Drosophila melanogaster: one gene and its partners. The protein of the gene in region 4 interacts with the protein of the main gene of each other region in a pairwise test. Each region holds a gene or a part of one and is shown on either strand. Other genes may lie near its edges. The genes, in order: Pis, Ugalt, CG1309 and Ctr1B.

Region 1 (6,033 bases), on a different chromosome or scaffold from region 4:
TTTCTTTTGATACCATTTTTAGAAACGCCAATAATTTAAAATATGGCATTATTTTGAATATGACGCCCAAACATGGTAAATACTTCCTTAGAAGGTAAGCCAATAAGGATTAAGGATGTAAGCTTCATACTTTGAAAAATATGTTTATTAAAAACAAAAATGAAAAGAAATTATTATTCTCTCCTGTTTTTTTCAACTTATTTTCAATGATATGCAAAAACCAGAAGTCGCACAAATGAGACGAAACTCGCATACGTAATGATTCTAAAAAGTTGTGGTTTGATGTACTATAATTTCCAAACGAAACATAGGCCATTTATTGGGTCAAGTTGATTTTAAACTCTTTGTTGTACGAATGCCATCTATAGACCCGTGGCCTCGGATATCGGCCAGATGCGGCAGAGCACGCGGCTCCGGATGAGGCCCACCGGAATGGGTCCGTAGTAGCGGGAATCCGAGCTGTTTCCCTTGTTGTCACCCTCAATCCAAACGTGTCCGCGCGGCACATAGTCCTTGACCATCACGGGCTTCTTCTTGTCATCCGAATTACCACTAAACTCCGCCTCAATGGGAATGGGCTTCTGGATTAGCACCTGATCACCGGAAACGGCCACGATACGCTTGCAAATGAACTGATCGGCTTTGATGGGCGATATGGCGATGACTATGTCGCCGGGCTGGTAGGTTCGCCAGTGTTTCGACAAGCGCTCGGTGAGAAGAACGTTGTCCGAGTGCAGGGTGGGCTCCATGGAGGGTCCTTTGCACTGGAAATGGTTGCATTAATGTGAGTGTACGTACTTTTCCGCAAAAGAAGGATATCAAGTGGAAGTTACACAAGGTGGAAAAACAAGTGGAGAGTACCTTAATGCATTCACACGAACTATGTGATGCTGGCACATGTTGGGCAAGTATACCCGCCCAGGAACTTCATCCTAGACGCCTTACCAGGACGAAATCGCCAATGTACTCGAAGGTGCAGTGTGTGATTGCCGCGTAGGCCACCGTGTAGCGCATCAGGCGACCCAGACGGGAGAGGATTTTCATGTCGGCGATTCCGGCGTTGGCTGCTCCACATGCGCCCCTAATCAGAGCATCTCCCGTGTCCAACGACCTGGTATTCTCTCGAAAAAAGAGCTCCTCCAAAATCGAATGTTTATGTTGTGTAAAAATCAGGGCTGCACAGGCGGCGCAGCTGAGCGGCCAGCCAGGGATGTGCCAACGATAATTTTGATGTCTAACGATAAATTTTGTGTGGCGCAAATTTCAAAAATCGATGGCCCAAAAGGTTAAACTAAAATTTAGCGCATAGAACCACATATATTTATTTTCACTTTTCAATTTTGACTAAGTCTGCCAGGCCTGGCATGTATGGTACATATATGTTAATGTTTCAAATACATCTAACATCCATTTGTCGTATATATTTCATGCAGGTCTCCAATTACATTCTTTAACTTACGATTAGAAATACATTAGTTACATTGAGAGAGTTGCTGGGACAAGGTGGTTAGTCAAACCCAAAACGTGCACAGTGAGATAAATCCTGGAAATAGACACTCATTCATAGTATATCGGCCTGCATTTACGCATTGGCATATATATACATATATAGCGTGTAAACTACGCTAACTAAAGGCAAAATAAATATGCAACAGCTACTGACTGGAACGAATCGCTTAAATTTCAATTCAAAAATCTATTAAATACAAATTGTCGGGTGATTTCACCACCCGTCTAACTAAAATATATCAAATAAAATCAACAATCATTGCAATAGCGCATTAAAAATAAATTAAATTCCTACTACGGCCTATTTGGTTGCCTAATGCCCATATTTCATCTGATCGCAATTCGTCTTCAAAATTCTGTTTTTTTAGCTTGGAATCAAGAGTTGTTTCATTTAGTACTTTCTGTTGATAGAACTGTCGCTGGAAGATTGATCCCGGATCGCATCCCATTTTCACTCCACTTTCTTGCCGCTCACCGGCTCCGACTTCTGGCGCCGCTCCTGCCGCTCGCGTACATCCACGGCCGCCAGATCGATGCCCGCCACGTAGGCGTGCATCACCGAGATCAGGGCCTTGAGCACGGCAAAGGGACCCGTGAGGAAGGCGAGTATCTTGAAGAGCGATGCGCCGAATACTGCAATTGAAGTCCATCAACGGATTAGATACGTTTCGCCAGCTGAAATGCAAAGCATGTGCGTGTGCGTATACTCACTCAGCGGGCCGTAGGTGAAATGCAAGAGGTACAAGCACACGTAAAACAGCTCATTGACGCAGCACATGAATGTGAGTATGTCCTTCTGGTAATACAATCGCATTATGAAGTTGTCATTCACCTTGTGCGAGCTGCGTCCGACCACAACGCTCCTGCAAAAAGACAAAGCCACGAGTCATTAGTTTCCTTCCATTCCTTGACAGTCCAGACGTCCAGCATCTTGCTCTTTCCCCTGCCCCACTTACGTCTGCATGAAGAGCCAGTGACAGGCCACGTCGATGGCGATGGACAGCTGGAACCAGAACATGTACCGGGGATAGAAGTAGGCCAGGGTGACCAGTAGGCCGGTGGTGCCGCAGCGATCGGTCAACTGGTCTAGCATGGCGCCAAAGCGAGTGCCTGTGAGGTAATCGAGTATTTAGTAAAGATTCCATAGTACCATATGATAATTACTAATATTTTGATATACATATTTTGGTTGGAGTACCCTTTCGTTAAGACTCTAAATCATCCTGCTAGCATACAACAAATCCAAGTGCAAGATCATACCTTTCAGTTTGCTACACTACTATATCATAAACATTGCATGGTATCTGCAATTTGTTTCTTAGAAGGCTTCTATCCTAATGTTTTTCCTCCTATATTGCTAACTACATTGCATAGTTCCAAGGCAATATTAGCCATGCTTTCTATCTATTCTTCAGCCCCACGTCATCCATCGATTGGCTGGATAGCCGTGACCATATCGGGCTCTTTAGGGCGTGCCTACAATTCCACAATATCGGCAGATAACCAGTACGGAGGAGACAGGTGTTTGCAATGCGCTAGCGGCCAAAGTGCGCGCACAAATCAAATACAGACATATAGCTGGCATGAGCTGGCATTTCGATATCAAGGGCGATCGCATGGTTAATGCTTACTTTGGTTAAAGGCTCGGGCTGCTTGTCCATCGACGGCGTCCAGGAGGGCGGAGGTTACATAACACCAGCCGGAGATCACATAGTTGGTGGACATGAACCAGAAGGCGATCAGGGCCAGAACGATGCGGGCGTAGCCTGGAAAAGATCAATATAAATCAGCACATATGCGTGCATCATACGTATAGAATCATTGGAGGTGACTCAATTGGGTTGGACGAAGCGGCTCTTATCGCTGAACTTGCGCTTCGCATTGCACTAGCTGCCAAACAGCCCCTATTAATCCAATTAGGGAACACTAGAATCGCTATTATTGCGCCGCATAAATCGAACATGCGATTTGTTTACCTAGCTGGAGCACGGAATAAAACCTACAAACAGCCACTCACCGATCAGATTTGGCACAAAGATGAAGACGTTATCGTGCTCGGCAATTGTCATTTTGTTTCGCCACTTTGGTTTTTCGTTTATTTTGCGATCTTCTAGCTTTGCGGCTTGTTTTTATCCAATTAAATGCCAAAAGTGCTGCAGAAAAAACAGTGGAAACAGAATTTGCTGTATCTGGTGTGACCGCAGCGTGACCTTTGGAAAAAACAAACAAAGACTTGAGAGAAAATACCGAACTATACTGGCCAACAAGATTTCAGATGGTTTCCACTGACACACATCTGTTTCTAGTTTCTATTTTTCTCTTCCAATAGAAATTTAGTAATTAGTATATCATTTTAAATGTATCAAATACAAATTAAAGGTCACTAGATTATTAACATGAGCTACCAAAACCGGGCAACTAGTGTAGTTGCTTGTTAAATGAGTTTTGACAGCGATTTGCGTGCCGTTTTGATACATTTTCGCTGCCGTTGAGCAGTGTAAATGGATCTTTGCATACCGCTTCTAAGCTAGTATATTCCTCAGCGGGACATGGCATGGTCACACCGCCCGCGATAAAGTTTTCACAAATAATAATAAAAACACAATACAGGCGAAAATATAATGCACAAGTAGCGCGACCCGAAGTAACCTGCGCGGAGAACCACATGCTGTAGCATGGATAAACTCCGCGGCGGCAGTCTGGGCGGCGGCGGATCCTCCAGCGGCGCGCCATCGACGGCTCCGGGCCATGAGCACCACCAACTGGAGCAGTATCAGTACCCCAAAAACCTGATCGAGCAATATCTAAGGGCCTCCAGCAAGATCAAGAAGTTCGAGCGGGCCGGCTTCTTCAAGTGAGTAGCTACGGCCCAAGTATGGGCAATCAGATACCTTGCAGATCATTGCGTTTGATTAGCAAGTCATTGCCCAATTTATCGCTTTTCCTCCATCTTCAAACTATGTTTAGAAATACGGGTGTATTAGAAGCCCTCGAATCACGGAATACAATCTCAATACTCCACTGTTTCTCTAATTCCCAGACGCTTTGCGCCCAGCGTGGTCGATGTGCAGGCGGACTTCCAGCGACTGGCCTACAGCTTCGAGGAGTCGGGCATACAGCAGTATGCGGCCATGTGCCACATTGGCTATGCCAAGTGCGAGTCCTACGGCGGCGCACCGCAGCGCGAATCGGAGGCCTATCTGCGGGCAGCTAGATCCTTCCTAGCGGCGCACAACGAGTCCGGGCGACTGCATCTGCGCACCCGCCACTCGGGATTTCGGGAGGGAGCGGTGCACTGCTATCACCGTGCGGCGGATCGAGCGGTGGACGGTTGCGTCTTCAAGGCGGCCATTCTGCGCGAGTTGAAGCAGCTGCAGCGGCAGCTGGACAGCACCAGCAGCTTTGCCTCGCCCACCCATCAGATCCATGACCTGGAAATCAGCGCCGAAACGAGTGGCCAGCGCGGCGATTTTCGCAGTGCACTGCAGCATTACGACGACATTGTGGACAATGTTTACGAGCGACGCGGTGCTCGCATGTACGGTGAACTATTGCGGCGCGTTGAGGTGCTGCGTCTGCTGCTCCTAGTCCATTTGAACCTGCCTCCCGCACGCCAGTCACCCGCCCACATCAAGCTGATCGAGTACTACTACAACCTGGCGCAGTTCGAGTCGCTCCCCTGTTCGGCGGACGACGGTGGATCCGCGGAGCGTCCGGGAGCATTTGTGCCCGAACAGCAGCAGTATGCGCTGGCGGAGATTACGTGCGCCTGGGTGGAGCGTAAAATGTGCGATCTAAAGCACCTGCTGCGCGACTTTGGAGCCGAATTTGGATCGCTGAGCGACATGGAAAGGCAGCTGCTGGCGGTGATGCATGCAGAACTGGCCCGAAGCTACTAGATTTTAGACCTAAGATCGTACTGTACATTATTTACTACTGGATCATTACCACTGAATGAGAATGACACATGCAACTATCGCTTAAGTGTAACCAAGTCTACCAACTAACCTTTGAACGTGCCTACACGCATAAAAATTGAATTAAATTAACAAACGAATGACCAGGTGAATGCAGCAATAAACAGAAGGTGCGAAGCGCAATGAAATGTAATAGGATTTGTGATTTGTACAATAAATGAAGAGGAATGCGCATGATAGTGCGAAGATAAAGATGACTAACAAACCACCAACTTGTTTCTAATCAATCCAACAGATGTTCTATGAAGCCCCCTATTAATAGTAATGCAATATTTTGGTCATTTAATTTGTTTATTTTACCTTTGTCAAGCAACTTCTGTTTTTTGTTTCTTAGCAATTTCTCAATTAAGTTAGCTAATTAATGCGACACTCTTCGGGTGCCACAACTGATATTCCGAATCGAATTTCGTGATTTCTTTGTGTTTGCTTACAAAACTTTTTTTTTTTTTGTTTTTCGCTGGAGTTTACAATTCCAATTTGTTAAATATCCTATAATATCTGTTTGTTTATGTAATTTGTAAATTTTCATATATGTATGCATGTACGT
Region 2 (5,933 bases), on a different chromosome or scaffold from region 4:
CTGCGCGTCTTCGAACTCGTGATGTCCCTGCAGACTCAATCCAATGACGTTGGCCTCGCCTGGCTAGATTAGCGTCCCCACCCACCTCCTTAGCACCTAATGTCATGTACCACACTTAATTTAAATCAATACTCTCTTCTGTAGCCATCGCAACCGCATCACTTCGCAGCCAATAAAGCTTATATTAAGTCTTCTGGCGGATGGCTAAGATTTTGCTTTAGTTTTAAAAATGTTCCGTAATCCCACACTCGCAAATGCACATACTTTTGAATGGTATCTGCTGAATTTGCAACACGTTATGATTTTTATTAAGGTGTTTTTTTTTTTTAAGGGTAGAGGCAAAGGTTTACTCTTTTATAGATGAACTAAAGTTCTTCAGTTAAGAGGAAACCTTCCTTGGCCAATAAAGCAAAAAACTGACCCCAAAACCTTTGTTGTGCTTTTACTTATCGTGGGTTGAAAGTTGTTATTACTTTTTGATGGAGTAAAATACGCCTTTTATTCGTCTAATATTTATTCAAAGGAAATGAAACATATCGATATGGAATCACTCTTAAAACACTGTGCGAGTAATGCGACTTTAGTTCAAATACAAATATATAAGTCTGGGCTGGCTCAACCTAGGATTTCTCAAAAATAAAGTAATTGGCAATGAATAAATAATGCACATTCAAGTAAATATATATACATATATATGATCTTCTAAAAAAAAAATTCGAACAAAAGTAGTTGTGGCTGTGAATTGGCCGAACATCAAGTGTAACTTGAAAACTATAAATCGTTACAAATCTTAGTCTAAACTTGAGTGCAAGTGGATATTTACAAAAGGATAGGCACGGTATGTGTGGTGTTGTCCAGTAAATACTGCTGGCATTCCTCAGCATTCGCAAAGTAACAATTAAAATGATCAATAAAACGTGCATTCAAGCTGCATCATTTCATTAACTACACTTTAGTTTCGCTAGTGAATACCCTAAATACATTTAAATTACATAAATCATTAAGTATTCTTATCGCTGCTTTACATTACAATTATCGTCTCAACAGAAAGTGCTACGAATTGTCCAGACGTTAATATCCATCCTAATATATATACACACAAAACGTGGGGAATATCAAGGACACCGGATGCACCGGATACACCAGAGCAATTACCGAACGGCGGCCTCCGGGTTACGGACAAATACTGTTGGCAGATCCGGATTCCTCCAGAGCTAGACGCGCGGCAGCAGCTTCTCCTCATCGCCGCCAGGACCATGCATAGTTGGCTTCGGCGCCGACCTGGCCGGATCGTAGCCGTAGAGAAATATGGAGGCGATGACCAGGCCAGCTCCGAAGCTGAACTGCAGCGTGAGATTGAAGTCGAAGATGTATATGGAGGCCACGCACGAGATGATGATGGCCAGCGAGGTGGCGAAGCCCTTGAGAATGTTATCCGCGTACTTGACCACCACGGCAACGATCAATCCACCGCCGGCCTGCAGCAGGACCAGGTACCAGACAAACAGATCGTAGCCCTTGAAGAATCCCTGGTCGAAGATCCTACTGCCGTCGTTAACGAAACAGGTGAGCAGGCCGAAGGGAATGCTGAGCAGACTCAACTGCACATTCCGCATCCACACGGAGATCTCGGCACCCTTGAGGATCTTCTCAAAGTAGATGCCCGCGAATCCGGAGAGGAAGCAGGCGCCCAGTGCGGCCCACAGTCCGAGCATCCTGTTCTGCTCGGGAGCACCGCCAGAGGAGGCGGCCGTGGCTGCAGCTGCGGCACCACCGGCTGAGCCACTCGTCGGACCCTCCGTTTGGGCCAACTGCACCAGGACGATGCCCATCACCAGGAGCAGCAGCGCACCCCACTGCGTGTTCAGCAGCTTGCGGCGCAGAATGACAACCGCGAACATGGCCGTGGTGAGAATCTTCAGCTGGTACGTCACCTGGTAGGTGGCCGCATCCAAATGGGAGGCAGAGACGTACAGCAGATTGTTTTGAACGATATAGACCAGCGAGGGGACGCACACCTTCAGCGTGTCCATGGGATTCGCAATGATGGTCTTGTGCAGCGAGCGTACAAACTTCTGGGCATCCTTGCCCTCCTCGTTGAAGACCAGGAACAGGCACGTGATCAGTTTGGCGAACTCTGCCATGAGTACGGCTGCGAAAGAGGGCGCAAAATGGCAATCAATCAATCAAATATATGTACATATATACTAATAAGTCCAAGTATCGCTGTTCGGGTTTTCAAATAAGTCCGGTTAACTTACACACAGAGTCACCAAAGCAATAACCAAAGTTTAATGGCAAAATGTAAACCCATATGTAATTCAAGAATGCCAACCAAACCTCCTTGAGCTATCGCGGTAGAAGTTCCCCAACAGTTTTATCAAGCTATTAGGAGCTAAATGCGGAAGTGGCTGCTTATCAGTTTCTTTGGCAGCTTCACATCTACCCGAACGACCATTCCCCGCCTGCCACTGCTCCTACACCACCTTCACCTCCACCTCTTCGACTCGTTTGCTTTTACTGCTGATGTTGCTGCTTGCGTGGACAGACCCACGTCGAGGTTTCGTGGAAGTGGCTCTGGGCAACGAGGTGAATCTGCTAAGCGGTGAACCGGCTTGACCTGCTGAGCCCGACGACCTGTTGGACTTTTGGATAAGCACTCACCCGTGGAGCTGAGGAAGATGTCGCCTGGCCGGGTGCGGGCGTAGCGCATGCTGAGGCCCAGGATGGCATTCTGCAGGGTCAGCGTCAGCAGGCTGATGTACTTCAGCGTATTGGCGTTCACTGTGCGATGGGAATAGGAATACGTGACGGGGGCGGGCAGGAGCGCCATGTCAGTACCGCTGGAGTAACGCCACCGCACTAAAGGCCAAATACTCACTGTGTATGCTATTCATGGTGCTACGCTTCTAGCTCTATTGTCTCAACTCCAAAACCAAATAGAAACCGAAGGCAAACAAAACGCCGTAGTTGGGGGTACACAAAGACTCCGTTCCTGGCCAAGATCAGTTGTCGGCGGGCCGTTCCGTTTGGCAGTTCGTTCCCTTCAAGTTGGCCAGAAAAGCAGAAGAGCGCAAATGAAGACGACTCCACTGGACCGGGCGACACGTAAACAACAATCAGAGCCCGAAGCTTCTGCCAGCGGCGGCTTTTTATCGCCGCCTATGTGGTTGTTGTTGCTGCGCGCCAGGGACGTGGTCCTGGGCTTGCAACGGGGGTCATAAATGCGAAACCTTCTTAATTGAATGCAAACAAAATTTAAAAGTGCATTGTGCATTTCAGTAAAGTAAATACACCTTACATATGCTCCTGGGGGATGGATCCCCATTTTAAAGCAAGCTACGCCCATGGCGTGCAGCTTTTGTTGCTATTTTCGCAGCAGAGACCGACTTTTCGATAGTCACAGTGCTGGCATTGTGGCGGAACTCGCGAAAAAAGAAGTTGCTTGCAAAAAAAGCTAGATATACAATAATCGGGCATTGAGATTGCTTAAATTAATGTATATATTATGACTTTAAAATTAAAATTAAAATTTAACAAGAGAGCATGGGGATCGAAAGTAGAAAACAAGAAAACTCATGGACGAAATACATAAATACATATTGTGCATGCTTGTTCTACATGCACATGTATGTTAAATTTTTAAGCCCAGCGAAATTTATTTTTGCCGCACTAGGTTGGCTATTTACTCAGCTGCCGTTGAAAATACGTCATGAAAGCCAGTATATGCAGACAATTAAAATAAACATAAAACATCAAATTAAGCCAGTGAATGATGAACAACCTGTTGGCGGCACCTGATAATTGCGATGCATCAAATTTACAATACAACATTACAAATATATTGCCATTTGGGGGGATTAAATAAATTAATTTAATCAAATGCAATAAATGAAAACATTAATAATTTCCGTGTTGATTTTAAATCTTTTACTTTTTTGAGTTCATCACTAGAATTCGCTTTCGCCTGCCGCCTATCGATAACATTGCTCGGTGTGGCGATTTCGTAAATAGTTTTCTAACTGAATAATGGTAACAGTTGGCCACTTTAGTTGATAATTCATAATTGCAAAGACCAGAGACGCCAGGACACGATGAAGGAACAGCCGCTAAAGGAGATCACACAGCTCATCCACGCCATCAAAGTGGGGTAAGTCGTCGGTTGGCAGGCACTGCGATTCATTTGGTTGTTAAAGTGGCATATGTTTTGCAGGCTGGTGGAGGGATCCTACAACATAACCAACAAGACGCTGGACATCTTCAAGTACATCATCATGAGCAAGAGCTGGCAGAACGCCGAGTGAGTTGCAAGGGATGGCACACCAAGGATAACACATTAACTGATAAACAACTCCCCCTCATTTGACAGTGCTCTCATGCAGATTGTGCGCGACCAGTGTAAGATCCTGCAGGCAGCTCTGCCCCAGGAGACGGTTACCTCGAACATTGCCAGGCGGATCCTCAAGCTGACTCGCGAGGAGTTCGATCTGTTGCACGCCAAGGTGCAACACTTCGCGGACGACTCACAGGCCTCGCTGTCGCTTCACAAGCTAGTCACGCAGACCAGCGAGAGCAACGTCAGCGTAGATTACTCGGTGCCCCAGCATGGATTGCGGGAAGCGCTGCTCGACCACCTGCAGGAGGTGGAAACGGAGCTGGAGACCAGTTCGGAGAACATCTGCGTCCAGGCCGAGGAGCACATCCATTCGTCGGAGATCATCTTGACACTGGGACACTCGCGCAGCGTCGAGAATTTCCTCAAAAGGGCGATCAAAAAGCGTCAGTTTCTCACCATCATCGTAGCCGAATGTGCGCCAGCCTGCCGGGTTAGTTGGGTCTCTTTATGGGACGACAGTATTTGTGGGGTGTAAGAAAATGCTCTTATGTTGCTTAACAACTGCCTATGTCTTTTACAGGGTCACAATTTGGCCGCCAGCTTGGCCAACGAGAAGAATGTGGAGATTGTTGTGATCCCAGATGCGGCCATCTTCGCTATGATGTCGCGCGTCAACAAGGTAATAATCGGTACGCACAGCGTGCTGGCTAATGGAGGACTCAGAGCGGCGTGTGGAGCGTATACAGTGGCCCTGGCCGCCAAGCATTACTCCGTGCCGGTCATTGTACTGGCGCCCATGTACAAACTCTCACCATTGCATCTGTGCGAGCAGGACGCCTTCAATATGGTCGGCTGTGCGGAGGATGTGATACCCTACGATTCGATTCCAGCGCGCGAAGCCAAGGTATACAGTCCCATGTTCGACTACGTGCCTCCGGAACTGGTCACCCTTTTCATATCCAACACGTAAGTAGTGCGCTTATCGGCCTTTCGACTCTTTTTTATTGCATTTATTGGATTCTTTTTTTACTTAGCGGTGGCCATGCCCCCTCGTATGTGTACCGCCTCCTTACGGAACTGTATCATCCCGAAGATTTGGAGATTTGAAATCGTGTTTGTCTCGTTGTTTTAGCAATTCTACCAATAAAGTCTACAGTAAAGTAGCAAGCCCATTTCGATTTGGATTGATTTAAATGCATCAATTTCGTAGACATTTATAAACTTTAAAATTCAACAATAATTATATCGAATAAGCAATAACGGTGGATCGGTTTTCGATTTAAGAACATTACTACTTTATCTTGGGTTGATATAGTTAATTTCAGGTAGCACGTTTCTCGTAATTTCCCTGCGGCACACGATCCTCAACCTATTTTTGAATATTTTCAAGCAGCTGCGTGAAGTCGGCCAGGCTATCGGCATAGTAATCCGGCTGCGCTTCCACCGGGGCGTTCAGCATGTCCTCCTTTGTTAGGCAGCCGCTAAGTACCAGCAGGGACTGGAAGCCGCAGGCCTTGCCGAACTGCACATCCTGCACCAGTGTGTCCCCGATGAAGATGCAGCGCTTGCAATCACGAATCTCGAACATTTCGCCAAA
Region 3 (5,649 bases), on a different chromosome or scaffold from region 4:
GCTGTATACGAAAAATCAATATTTATCGCACATCGATTATTTTACCTACCTGTGGTTATCGTCGATGTCCAAAATTAGGTCCATTTTTTTGTGTATACAGATTCGGACTTATATGCTATTAAATAAGCTTTAATTTAAACTTTAAATACAATTTTTTTAAATTAAAATTAACAACTGCTTTTACATTTTCACATCCGCCTTCTGGTTCCATCGATAACATTTAAAAAAAAATATCAAGTTGTCATCCCTGTCCAAAATCTTAGCTCAGACGCAAACCGCCGCATCGCTAACAAAAATATTTACAAATTTTCATTGCCTTACTTTTACCGAATAGATTTTAGTGCAATTGTCATCCCAGCGCCACCATGACGATGCGACCTGATGACCACCGAAGGAAATGGGACAAGAACGAGTACGAGAAGCTGGCGGCGGAGCGGCTGCTCAACCAGGTGGCACCCAAGGAAGAAGGTCAGTGTCTAAATTCCCTGGAAGGCACACATAATAAAAGTCTTTTTGTTTTTCACCAGAACCCGTACAGCGGGAGAACCTCAAGCGACGCGACTATAAGGTGGACCTGGACAGCAAGCTGGGCAAGAGCGTTGTCATCAACAAGAACACACCCACCTCGCAATCCGGTGGCTATTACTGCAACGTTTGCGACTGCGTGGTCAAGGATTCCATCAACTTTCTGGACCACATCAATGGCAAGAAGCACCAGCGCAATCTGGGCATGTCCATGAAGGTGGAGCGGAGCACCGTCGACCAGGTAAAGGAGCGCTTCCAGCAGAACAAGAAGAAGATGGAGGAGAAGCAGAAAGACTACGAGCTCGAGCGCCGCCTGCGGGAGGCCAAGGAGGAGGAGGATCGCTACAAGGAACACCGCAAGGAGAAGCGAAAAGAGCGGAAGCGCAAGGCCGAGGACACGGACTTCGAGTCCGGCGGCATGCCCGACGACATGGCCGCCATCATGGGCTTCTCCGGCTTCGGTGGATCAAAGAAGAACTCGTAGGAACTAAGTGTTGAACTGCCCCTCCCCTCCAATTTTAGCTGTACCATGAAATAGAAACTAACCACAAGACGACGCGTCTAGTTTAGCTTGTGACATTTATTTTGTATATAATTTCACACCAGTTCAGAAGACACCAGCTACCCGGCTGTTCCCAGTTAGAATAATTTAATAAGCAGTCAGAAGGCAAAAATTACTAAAAACCATTTTACTAAATCTAAGCATACGGCCGTGGATCACCTGCGGAATGAGCTTAGGTGAACACAAATCCCTGCTCAGTGGGTATGTCCCACGGCATGGTAAAGAACTCCCCGGGCAGCTGGGTGCAGTGCGTCGAGTTATAGTCACGTAAATGCTTGCGCAGCTGAAAGGTGAACAGTATTAGATATATAGACCATTTAAACTGCCGAATAAACCCACCAAGAACACAGCCATCAGATTGCGCACCTCCTCCGAGTAATCTGCTCCAATGTTCATGGGGAATGACTTGCCCTCGTCAGAGGCGTAGGTGATCAGGCGCGACATGCACAGCTTCTCGTCGGCGACGGGGATACTGTATGGTTCCAGGGGCTTAGACAGCAGCCCCTTGGCCTTATTCAACTGGGAAGCCCCAAAAATGTTGGGATACCGGTGCTTGAGCACTGACAAGACCAAGAAATTTCCGCGGTTTGTGTCAATGTGGTTGTCCCTAATGGAAATCAATGGGTTACGTTTTAGGAAAGACCTCTGCCCAAATGCAAAAGTTATCACTCACTCTGCAATGATCTCATCCTCAGTGCGGCGAATAAAGGATATGGGTCCATTGAACTCGTTGGCCAGTTCGGCATTGTTCAAATTACAGTAGTTTCGAATGGCTACCTTGACAATGCCCGCCAGTGCAGCTGGCATGCGAGGAACGGCCAAGTAGAGCACATCGTCGAAGGTGGCGTCTAGTACCACTCCCTTGACATCCGGATACACAGAGGCAGCGTATAGTGTACTAAAGCCACCAATGCTCCAGCCATACAAAATTATATCCTCTACGGGGAACCTAAGATTGTTGATGGCAAACTGCACCACGGCATCGATGGCGTTCTTGTCCTGGTGGGGATGAGGAGTGCCTGTGCTGCCGGCAAATCCGGGATGATTCCAGCCCAAAACGGAATACTTTAAGGCCACTGGGGTGGCCATAATGCCCACTTCATAAAAACCGGCATTGCCCTCGGAGCAAATGACTAGAGTCTTGCCATTTCCCACGTTGTTTGGGCGATTGTCAATGAACAACGTATCGATTTCGTTCGAGTCAATGGTCTTAACCTTGTAGCGGATGCCGTTGTCATCCTCGATGAGCTTGGCGCGTCCGGAGATCAGCATGGGTCCTGCAAAATATTTTAGGTTCAGTATATGTAGAAGTCTATCTTATGGGCTTATCGGATTGCAATTTAACAACATTTCAGACAGCTTCACATATGTATATCTTTCTTACTCATAAGTTTCTGGAGTAGTTTGACCGAACCCGGATAGATCATGGAGAGCCCAAAGGTGTTTATGGCCAGGTAGGCGATGGCCTCACAGGGCAGTGTCGCCAGCTGGATGGGCTCCCGCCTTCTAGCCGTAACCACCGGCTTTTTGGTATCACTGAAAACGAAGATGTTATTCTGGCACACTTCAAAGGCGTAGCCCACTCACCCGGTTAGAGCTTTCACATCAAAGTCCACCGGCCAAGCGTTGAACTCGATGTCGAAGCGACGCAGCTCGCTGTTGGCATCTCCTGGTGCCTTGGAGGACTTTGCTCGGACGAGGGCCTTAATCATGTTGGAGTAGGAGCGCGATTGCTTGCGCCCCAGGCCGCGCATCACCAGCGATAGGATGACGATGAGGCCCACGCTGGTGGTGATCTTGGCCAGCGTCGGTATGGAATCGGTCACCAGGTAGCCGCGTCGGTATAGGAATGTGACGAGCAGCGGAGAAGTATAATAGCCCACGGACCACATAACCGATAGCTGCAACGGAGAGTGTCGATTTTCCACATTACCATATGCTCCAGATTCTGCCCCATGGGATCGCAGGGCACTTACCGTCGATAGAATCTGCTCCCCGAACTTTTCCACGGCACCTGCCTCGTACATCTTGCGCTGCGGCTCCGGCACACCGCGGTATTCCATGTAGAGGTTGGGGCCAAACACGTAATTTAGGAAACTCATCTTGGATCGGATCGTAGTCGGTATGTCTGGATATATTTAATTTTCTCTATTTTATTTTGTTGCAAATGATGTGAAAGCTGTTCCAGGGTGTCGCACTCACGAACAGATGTTTAACATCGAATACCAGGGCTGCCACATTAGATACCTGACCTATTAATTGTAAACTTCAAAATGTTGGTCCAAATTATTAAATGCAATAAAATATGCAGAGAGGATGTTTGATAATTTAGGTATTAATGTGTATGTATGTATTTTTTTTGAATTAAATGAAATTCCCAATTGGAAACTGAAAGCTCACACAAATGTGTACCTTTCGGAACTAGATCCCCTAATTGCTGTTATCAGAGAACGAGCCATCCCTGGTTCTACCCCAGGAATTTATTCCCAGTTGATAGACAAAAACGCCGGCTTAAAAATGGAAAAGTTTAATAAAGCGCAAGCTAAAAATTTGGCTGCCGCCCAAAAACTGGTGGACACCTACGCCTCCAGCTCCGAGGATGAAGGCGAACTGGATGAGAATCACATTTTGGGTAAATCGACCGATGCTTGTGACGTGTCATTTGAAAACCATCAAATTTTGTGCTTTATCTTTTCAGAACTCCTATACAAGAACTACAAACCGTCGGACAACGCAGGAAGCTCAAAGGAAGCGGCACGCACCAGTACGTTTCTGGAAAACACTCTACACTCGGGAGCGGCAACCTGTCTCATTTGCATCGGAAGCATTCGGCGGGTGGAGGCCATTTGGTCTTGCGAGAGCTGTTACTGCTTCTTTCACTTGAAGTGCATCCAACGGTGGGCCAACGACAGCATGATGCAGATGAAGGTAAAGGCGGCAGAGCAGCAGAACGGCCAGGGCCACTACAATCATCTGGGCGAATTTGTGCCGCCCAAGCGACAGAAATCCCTTCACTGGTGCTGCCCCAAGTGCCGCAGGGACTACCAACCGGCCGATAAGCCCACGCAGTACAACTGCTTCTGCGGCAAGGAGGTGAACCCCGAGAACCAGCCCTTCCTTGTGCCCCACTCATGCGGAGAGCACTGCGGAAAGCTTTTGCAACCGAAGTGTGGGCACGATTGCAAGCTGCTATGTCATCCGGGGCCATGTCCTCCTTGTGCGCAGCAGGCGCAGGTCTCGTGCCTGTGTGGTAAATCTAGTCCTAGGTCCGTGAGGTGCATTGACAAGCAGTGGACGTGTCAGCAGACTGTAAGTCTTAACGTTTTAAGAAATTTTGTCTGACCACCATACTAAAAAAATGATTTTCCAGTGCAAGGAACTTCTAGCCTGCGGCAAGCACAAATGTAATCAGGTGTGTCATCAGCCAGGAAAGTGTCCTCCATGCACCAGCAAAAGCTTACAACCTTGCGAGTGCCAGCGGGAGTCGAAGATGGTCAACTGCTCCGATCGGAAATGGAAGTGTCAGAATGTAAGAAAAGCCTTTTGAAGCTGAAGCATAAAACAACATTAATATTCTTTCAGGTTTGTGGAGCTCCATTTGCTTGTGGTTTGCACATTTGCGAGAAGGTGTGTCACGCTGGACCCTGCGGAGATGGAGAGTGTCCTTTGCAAGTCAGGAGTTGCCCATGCGGCAAGAATGTATGTGATATATTTATTTACAAGTTTATATTCATTTATGATTACCTAATTCTGTAGACCCAGGTAAGACCCTGTAATGAGACAGAGGAAACCTGTGGCGATACGTGCCAAAAACTTTTGTCCTGTGGCCAGCACACTTGCACCCAGCGTTGTCATCGTGGACCTTGCATTTCCGTAAGATAGCCACCAGGGAAGCAAATCGATTCTCTAATGAAATATGTTTCTTACAGTGCCCAATAAGAACCAAAAAGAAGTGTCGTTGTGGTCTGCACGAAAAGGAGTTGCCCTGCTCCAAAGAGTTTGCATGCGAGACTAAATGCAAGCAAATGCGTGATTGCGGCAAGCATGCATGCAATAGAAAGGTATAAGAGCACGCAAGCATTTTAAATGTATACAGCCGAATTAACCAATAACCTTTTTTAAAGTGCTGTGGGGACCAGTGTCCACCGTGCGAAAAGATTTGTGGCAAGCAGCTGAGCTGCAACAAGCACAAATGTCAGTCCGTGTGCCACAACGGACCTTGCTATCCGTGTAAACTGGAATCCCAGATTAACTGCCGCTGTGGAAAGACCAAAAAAAGTGTTCCTTGTGGCAGGGAAAGAAGTGCACGCATTGTCTGCTTGGAACTCTGTCGGTTCGTATTTCTTTCGCAATATATAATGACCGACTTTTAATCTCACTTCTTGCAGCATAACTCCCAAATGTCACCATGCCATTAAGCATCGTTGTCACAAGGGTGACTGTCCTCCATGTGGCCAAGTGTGCGGTCTACCCAATGACACCAGCAAGTGTGGGCACATCTGTAAGGCACGATGCCACGAGGCAGTTAGAGTTAATAAACCCAAAGAGGCTAGGCCACAGGC
Region 4 (5,095 bases):
CGCAATCTTCTCTTTGCAGAGTCGCAGTGTCCGCAGTATGGCGAGGTGAACCAGCTGGGCGGCGTCTTTGTCAACGGCCGTCCGCTGCCCAATGCGACCAGGATGCGGATCGTGGAGCTGGCCCGCCTGGGCATCCGACCCTGCGACATATCGCGCCAGCTGCGAGTGAGTCACGGCTGCGTGTCCAAGATCCTGGCCAGGTACCACGAAACGGGCTCCATACTACCCGGCGCAATTGGGGGATCCAAGCCGCGCGTGACCACACCCAAGGTGGTCAACTACATCAGGGAACTGAAGCAGCGAGATCCCGGCATCTTTGCGTGGGAAATCCGGGACCGTTTGCTCAGCGAGGGCATATGCGACAAAACGAATGTACCCAGTGTGAGCTCCATATCGAGAATCCTGCGCAACAAGTTGGGCAGCCTGGGGCATCAGCACACGCCGGGAACGGTGATGGGCAGCGGAAGCAGCAGCGGTGGCGGCAGTGTGTCCAGCAATGGTGGACAAAACAATGGCACGAGTGCCAGCAATAATATTAATCTGAGCAATCTGGGTAATCCCGGCGGTGGACCGCACCATCCGCACCACCATCATCATCATCAGTCAGCGGCGGCGGCGGCAAGTGCCCATCATGTGCACGCCCACGCCCATGCCCACGCCCACCTGTACAACTCCATCTACCAGCCGTACAGTGCTGCGGCGGCCTACAGCATGAAGACGCCCTGTGGAAGTCCATCCCCGCCGCAGGGAGCGGGCGGTCAGGGATCAGTGCCCCATCCCCACCAGCTGAGGAGTGTGGCCGCCGCAGCCGCTGCCGCCCACTGGCCCTCCTCCCACTCGGTCAGCGATATCCTGGCCCACCATCAGGCTGTTGCCCTGCGCGCCAGTTGCCAAGTGGGCGTCGGAGTGGGTGGAATGGGCGGCATGGGCAGTACGGTATCCCCGCTGCCGATGACTCCTTCGCCGGTGGCGGGAACGGCCGGTGGTCAGCCACTGCTCGACTGCGAGGGTGGGGCGGGACAGCAGTCGCCGTACAACTACTACATGTACTTCCAGAACGGCGGAATGCATCACCACCATCATCACGGCGGAATGATGGCCGCTGGAGCCACGGGCTTATGATTGGGTGGTCTATAATCAGCGGATTGGTTGCGGGTCTAGCTACTTTCGATCGCGGTTGTTCAGTCTAGGTTACTCTAGTCTAAGAGCTAGTTAGGGAATGGTCTCATCATGGCGCTCACTTGTCACTCAAATTTTAAACAAATGCACTAAAAGAACTTATAATTATCCCGGAAATTTCAAAATAATTTAAACTTTAACTAAGAAGCTTGCAAATACTGGTGTGTGGTTAGGCAAGTACAAATAGATAAAGTGTCGTAAAAAAATGTGTGCGAGATGATTCACATAATCATAAGGTTTGCTTAGTTATATTACCTGCCCAGATGTATCACAGCTAAAATATTTGTTAAAAAGATTTTTCAAGATCTTAACTAAACTAAAATATGTACTATTGTGTGATAGGTGAGTATCGTGATTAGTTAGGCCTTCAAATGTGAGTTGTGGGCTGTCAGGACTCAGACCTGGTAATGTTCGCATTTCATAACGAATTTCATGTAATCCTGGAGATTTAACTTTGCCTTCTTTTTTGTCTCATATCGGATTGTTTGCGTTTTGAGTTCGGGGTGGTCAAAAATAAAGTGTATTGCTTATAAAAACATATTGTAAAGTCAAAAGTATTGAGTAGTACTTTAATCGCTTTAGATGAATACGCGTTGTATAGGTTCTTGTTCTCATGACTACACTATTTGTACAATATGCTCATTAAGTAAACTAGTTGACTAATTTATGCTACGATTACATCAATAACAATTAAACCAAGTGTAACTATCGAATAAAATTGTATTTTTAAACAATTTGTATAATTACGTGGGGACGGGACTTTTTCTTTGATGTGTGAACCAAGAACTGATAAGGGCTTAGTTTATAACAATTGCAAGATATATAAACAATTAAGAGCGATATTCTTGATCTAAGGACAGCACTCGCTCTCGTCGGGATTCTTCTTGTTCCAGCCGAAGAAGAAGTAGCCCAGACCCAGTCCCAGGATCACTGCCAGGCACAGCCAGTAGTTGAAGGTCATGAAGATCAGCATCAGCAGGTACGAGATGACGATCTGCAGCAGGTTCAGCAGGGACTGGACGATGTGCGACGAGGCGAACAAGCGCTGCCAGTAGGTCTGCTCCCTCGGCTCCGCCAGGGGAGCTTCCGAGCAGCATCCTCCGGCTGCCGGAGCCTCGTTCTTCCTACGCTGCTCCGCCGCCAGCTGCTCGCTTGCTCGACGGGCTTCCCTGCGCGCCAGTTGCTGTCGCAGGAACTTGAGCGCCTCATACAGGAAGGACACCAGGAAGATGGCCAGGGCGGAGAGCACGAACTCCGTCACAGTGGACGCCACCCATCCGCGCCACAAAATTCGCTCGCAGTGTCCAGCGTGGAACTGAAAGGATGCGAGAGTGAAAGATTAACTACATAAGAATCCATAAGATCAGTAAGATGAGGCTTAAATACCAGTTAACTACCACTAATTACCACTTAATAACTTTCTAATTCGTATCTATATCTAGATTCCTAGATATCTAATATCTAGGTATATCTATATGGTCACTTTTGCTAAGATGATCCTTAATACAAAAGTTTAATATTACTTTTAGTTTTATAAAATATCAAGCTTAAGCTTTCCAATTAAACATCAACATAAACATAACATTCGAATTAAACATCTTTTTTATAATTCCCTTACAGCGGTATAATTTAACCCATGAATCTTTATTCATGAGACACCCTGTTCGAGCATATTCAATTTGTATTATTTGTATTTGCTGAGAGCGAATAAAGCGCTAGAGAGCGAATAATTCGTTGTGGTTTCTGGCACATAAACATACTTATACGAACTTATACTAGGGAGTGACTAGCCAGAGAATTCAAATTCCAAGTCGGACGAGATATTTGTTTGCTCTCCGTGCAAATCTCATTCAGCTAAACTGGATGAGTGACTTTTAAATTACAGCGTTTAGCGCAGTGGTAAGTGATTTTGTATCAAAATTGTTGGACACAGGAGTTGTGTAACTGCGTACTCACCACCATGATCATAGGGCAGGACTTGGCCGTGCTGGTGCTGTCATCCGAGCCGTGATCCATCTTGGGCTGCTGGTGTAGTATAGATATAGATAGAAGGCGTGGAAAATCCGACTGGCGATCGGGGAGGCACAGTGATAAGAGCTAGACCTGCTGAGGTGCTGAGAGCAGAGCGTTGACTGCTTGAAACCCGCTGCTCGCGAGTGGTTTTTTAAAGAAAATCGCACCTAATCCCCCGACGCGGCGATAGGAAAGTGCGCTTATCTATGGGCAATGGGAAAGAGCGTTATCACCCAGTAGCGGCGATACCAACGATAGTCGCCCCACACTAAGAAAGGCAGCCCAGATACAGTCATGTAAATAAACATAAATGCATGCAGATCTCAGTGTTAGAGGTCAGATCAAAAGATATATTCTGGGTATCAGTTGCAGATCTTTATCTCGAGAGATAAAATCCATAATTGATGCGTCGTGGGTTTCTCTGCGGTTTGCAGCTTAATTTATGGACTCATGGCAAAGGTTCGACAATCGATTCGTGTGCAGAATTTATTGCAATTCAGATTATCAATCATGGGCTAATACAACCCCCTGAAATTGTTGCTGTAATACATGATGTTGAAATAATTCCATTATTTCTTCGCTTCGATCACGGTTTTATGGCTCTAGTCGAGTACATTCATACGTAGGTATATGCCCATATTCCGGCATGGGAGCGATAGCAACCGTCGGCCGCCGGATCGCCGGAGGTCTGCCTTAGTCCACTTGGCTTTCCTAGAGTGTTATTTCTTACTGTGCTATTTCTAACTGGGATAGAATGCCGCCAAAATTGATGGCCGTGCGCAAACCTTCTGCGGCCGTGTGCATAAATTCTACGGACATTCCTGCGCCGTGTGCCAATTTCGAAAAATGGGCGACGTGCGCAAAACATTAACGATATTGCAGAGGGGTAAATGGTTGGGTCTACGCAAAAAAGAGAGCAAAAGCTTTTGCTAAACTGCTTAGGTGGAGATAACTGTAAAGAAGCTTTAGTTATTAGTATTGGTAAAACGAAGAACTACATTCCGCATATGTTCTTCTGTGTTTAGATATATAAATATGACTTTGGTGAAACACAACTCAAAAGTTAACAATTAACACAAGTTGTTTACAACTTTAATATATTTGTCTTTGAAACTTAAATTCAAATTTTTATCGCCAAATGCAGCAGTGCCACCGGATCATATTGTTTTTTCATCTATCCGGCAACTCTTTGTCTGCCTTTACCCGGATGGCAGCCCTTTGACATTCCCAACCAAAGTTCCATTAAACATCTTGCCATTTTTTGACTGTGAGTTTACGAACAAATACAACTTAACATCGTGTGACTTAATGCTTTAATCGTTGAAGGTGCTAGTGCAAGGCAAATCGCAATGTATGCGCTTCGACACCTGCGACTCCAGAGCGCTAGGCACTTCCGCAGCTCTTATGCAGCGGCGGCAACAACAAAACACATGCTGCCCCGGCAACCAGCGCGTGTTCTGATTGGAGATTGGAGCACTTGGGATAAGTCCCGGCTGCAGGATGTATGCTCCAGGAGTTCGAGTACCGCCACTGAGCCCGTGAAGCAGCAAACGCCGCTGCAGGAACTCGTGTCGGCCGCCAAACCCTATGCCCAACTAATGCGAATCGACCGGCCTATTGGCACCTACCTCCTTTTCTGGCCTTGCGCCTGGAGCATAGCGCTCAGCGCGGATGCGGGCTGCTGGCCGGACCTCACCATGCTGGGTCTGTTCGGCACCGGGGCACTGATAATGCGCGGCGCCGGGTGCACCATCAACGATCTCTGGGACAAGGACATCGATGCCAAAGTGGAGCGCACGAGGTTGCGGCCCTTGGCCTCGGGTCAGATCAGTCAGTTCGATGCCATAGTATTCCTCTCGGCGCAGCTCAGTCTGGGTCTTTTGGTGCTGGTCCAGCTCAACTG

The links.
Region 1: the proteins of Ctr1B (region 4) and Pis interact in a two-hybrid assay, tested with the Drosophila melanogaster proteins (one large-scale study listed by BioGRID).
Region 2: the proteins of Ctr1B (region 4) and Ugalt interact in a two-hybrid assay, tested with the Drosophila melanogaster proteins (one large-scale study listed by BioGRID).
Region 3: the proteins of Ctr1B (region 4) and CG1309 interact in a two-hybrid assay, tested with the Drosophila melanogaster proteins (one large-scale study listed by BioGRID).

What each region holds. Positions count from the first base shown.
Region 1 is NC_004354.4:15,700,044-15,706,076, forward strand, and holds Pis (phosphatidylinositol synthase), read right to left. Parts: upstream 3,728-6,033; 5' UTR 3,579-3,727; coding exon 3,527-3,578; intron 3,276-3,526; coding exon 3,141-3,275; intron 3,045-3,140; coding exon of another isoform or gene 2,986-3,044; exon of another isoform or gene 2,770-2,985; intron 2,620-2,769; coding exon 2,466-2,619; intron 2,373-2,465; coding exon 2,221-2,372; intron 2,143-2,220; coding exon 1,961-2,142; 3' UTR 1,408-1,960; downstream 1-1,407. Other genes in the region: CG9240 (uncharacterized protein), read right to left, coding at 363-764, 946-1,044; Hap40 (Huntingtin-associated protein 40 kDa), read left to right, coding at 4,185-4,363, 4,550-5,408. UniProt on the Drosophila melanogaster protein: Catalyzes the biosynthesis of phosphatidylinositol (PtdIns) as well as PtdIns:inositol exchange reaction. May thus act to reduce an excessive cellular PtdIns content.
Region 2 is NC_004354.4:2,700,624-2,706,556, forward strand, and holds Ugalt (UDP-galactose transporter), read right to left. Parts: upstream 3,123-5,933; 5' UTR 2,898-3,122; coding exon of another isoform or gene 2,882-2,897; 5' UTR 2,834-2,881; coding exon 2,665-2,833; intron 2,153-2,664; coding exon 1,215-2,152; 3' UTR 501-1,214; downstream 1-500. Other genes in the region: Lint-O (L(3)mbt interactor in ovarian somatic cells), read left to right, coding at 1-72; eIF2Bbeta (eukaryotic translation initiation factor 2B subunit beta), read left to right, coding at 4,095-4,150, 4,214-4,300, 4,370-4,826, 4,917-5,302, 5,371-5,443; CG2680 (uncharacterized protein), read right to left, coding at 5,706-5,933.
Region 3 is NT_037436.4:4,257,083-4,262,731, reverse strand, and holds CG1309 (uncharacterized protein), read right to left. Parts: upstream 3,303-5,649; 5' UTR 3,190-3,302; coding exon 3,064-3,189; intron 2,989-3,063; coding exon 2,675-2,988; intron 2,624-2,674; coding exon 2,472-2,623; intron 2,365-2,471; coding exon 1,761-2,364; intron 1,695-1,760; coding exon 1,427-1,694; exon of another isoform or gene 1,371-1,426; coding exon 1,260-1,370; 3' UTR 1,089-1,259; downstream 1-1,088. Other genes in the region: CG11586 (uncharacterized protein), read left to right, coding at 366-468, 528-1,009; CG15011 (uncharacterized protein), read left to right, coding at 3,605-3,719, 3,786-4,396, 4,458-4,616, 4,670-4,786, 4,844-4,960, 5,017-5,148, 5,212-5,420, 5,476-5,649.
Region 4 is NT_033777.3:8,315,837-8,320,931, reverse strand, and holds Ctr1B (copper transporter 1B), read right to left. Parts: upstream 3,321-5,095; 5' UTR 3,196-3,320; coding exon 3,136-3,195; exon of another isoform or gene 2,926-3,135; intron 2,495-2,925; coding exon 2,030-2,494; 3' UTR 1,727-2,029; downstream 1-1,726. Other genes in the region: Poxm (Pox meso), read left to right, coding at 20-1,122; Coq2 (coenzyme Q biosynthesis protein 2), read left to right, coding at 4,542-5,095.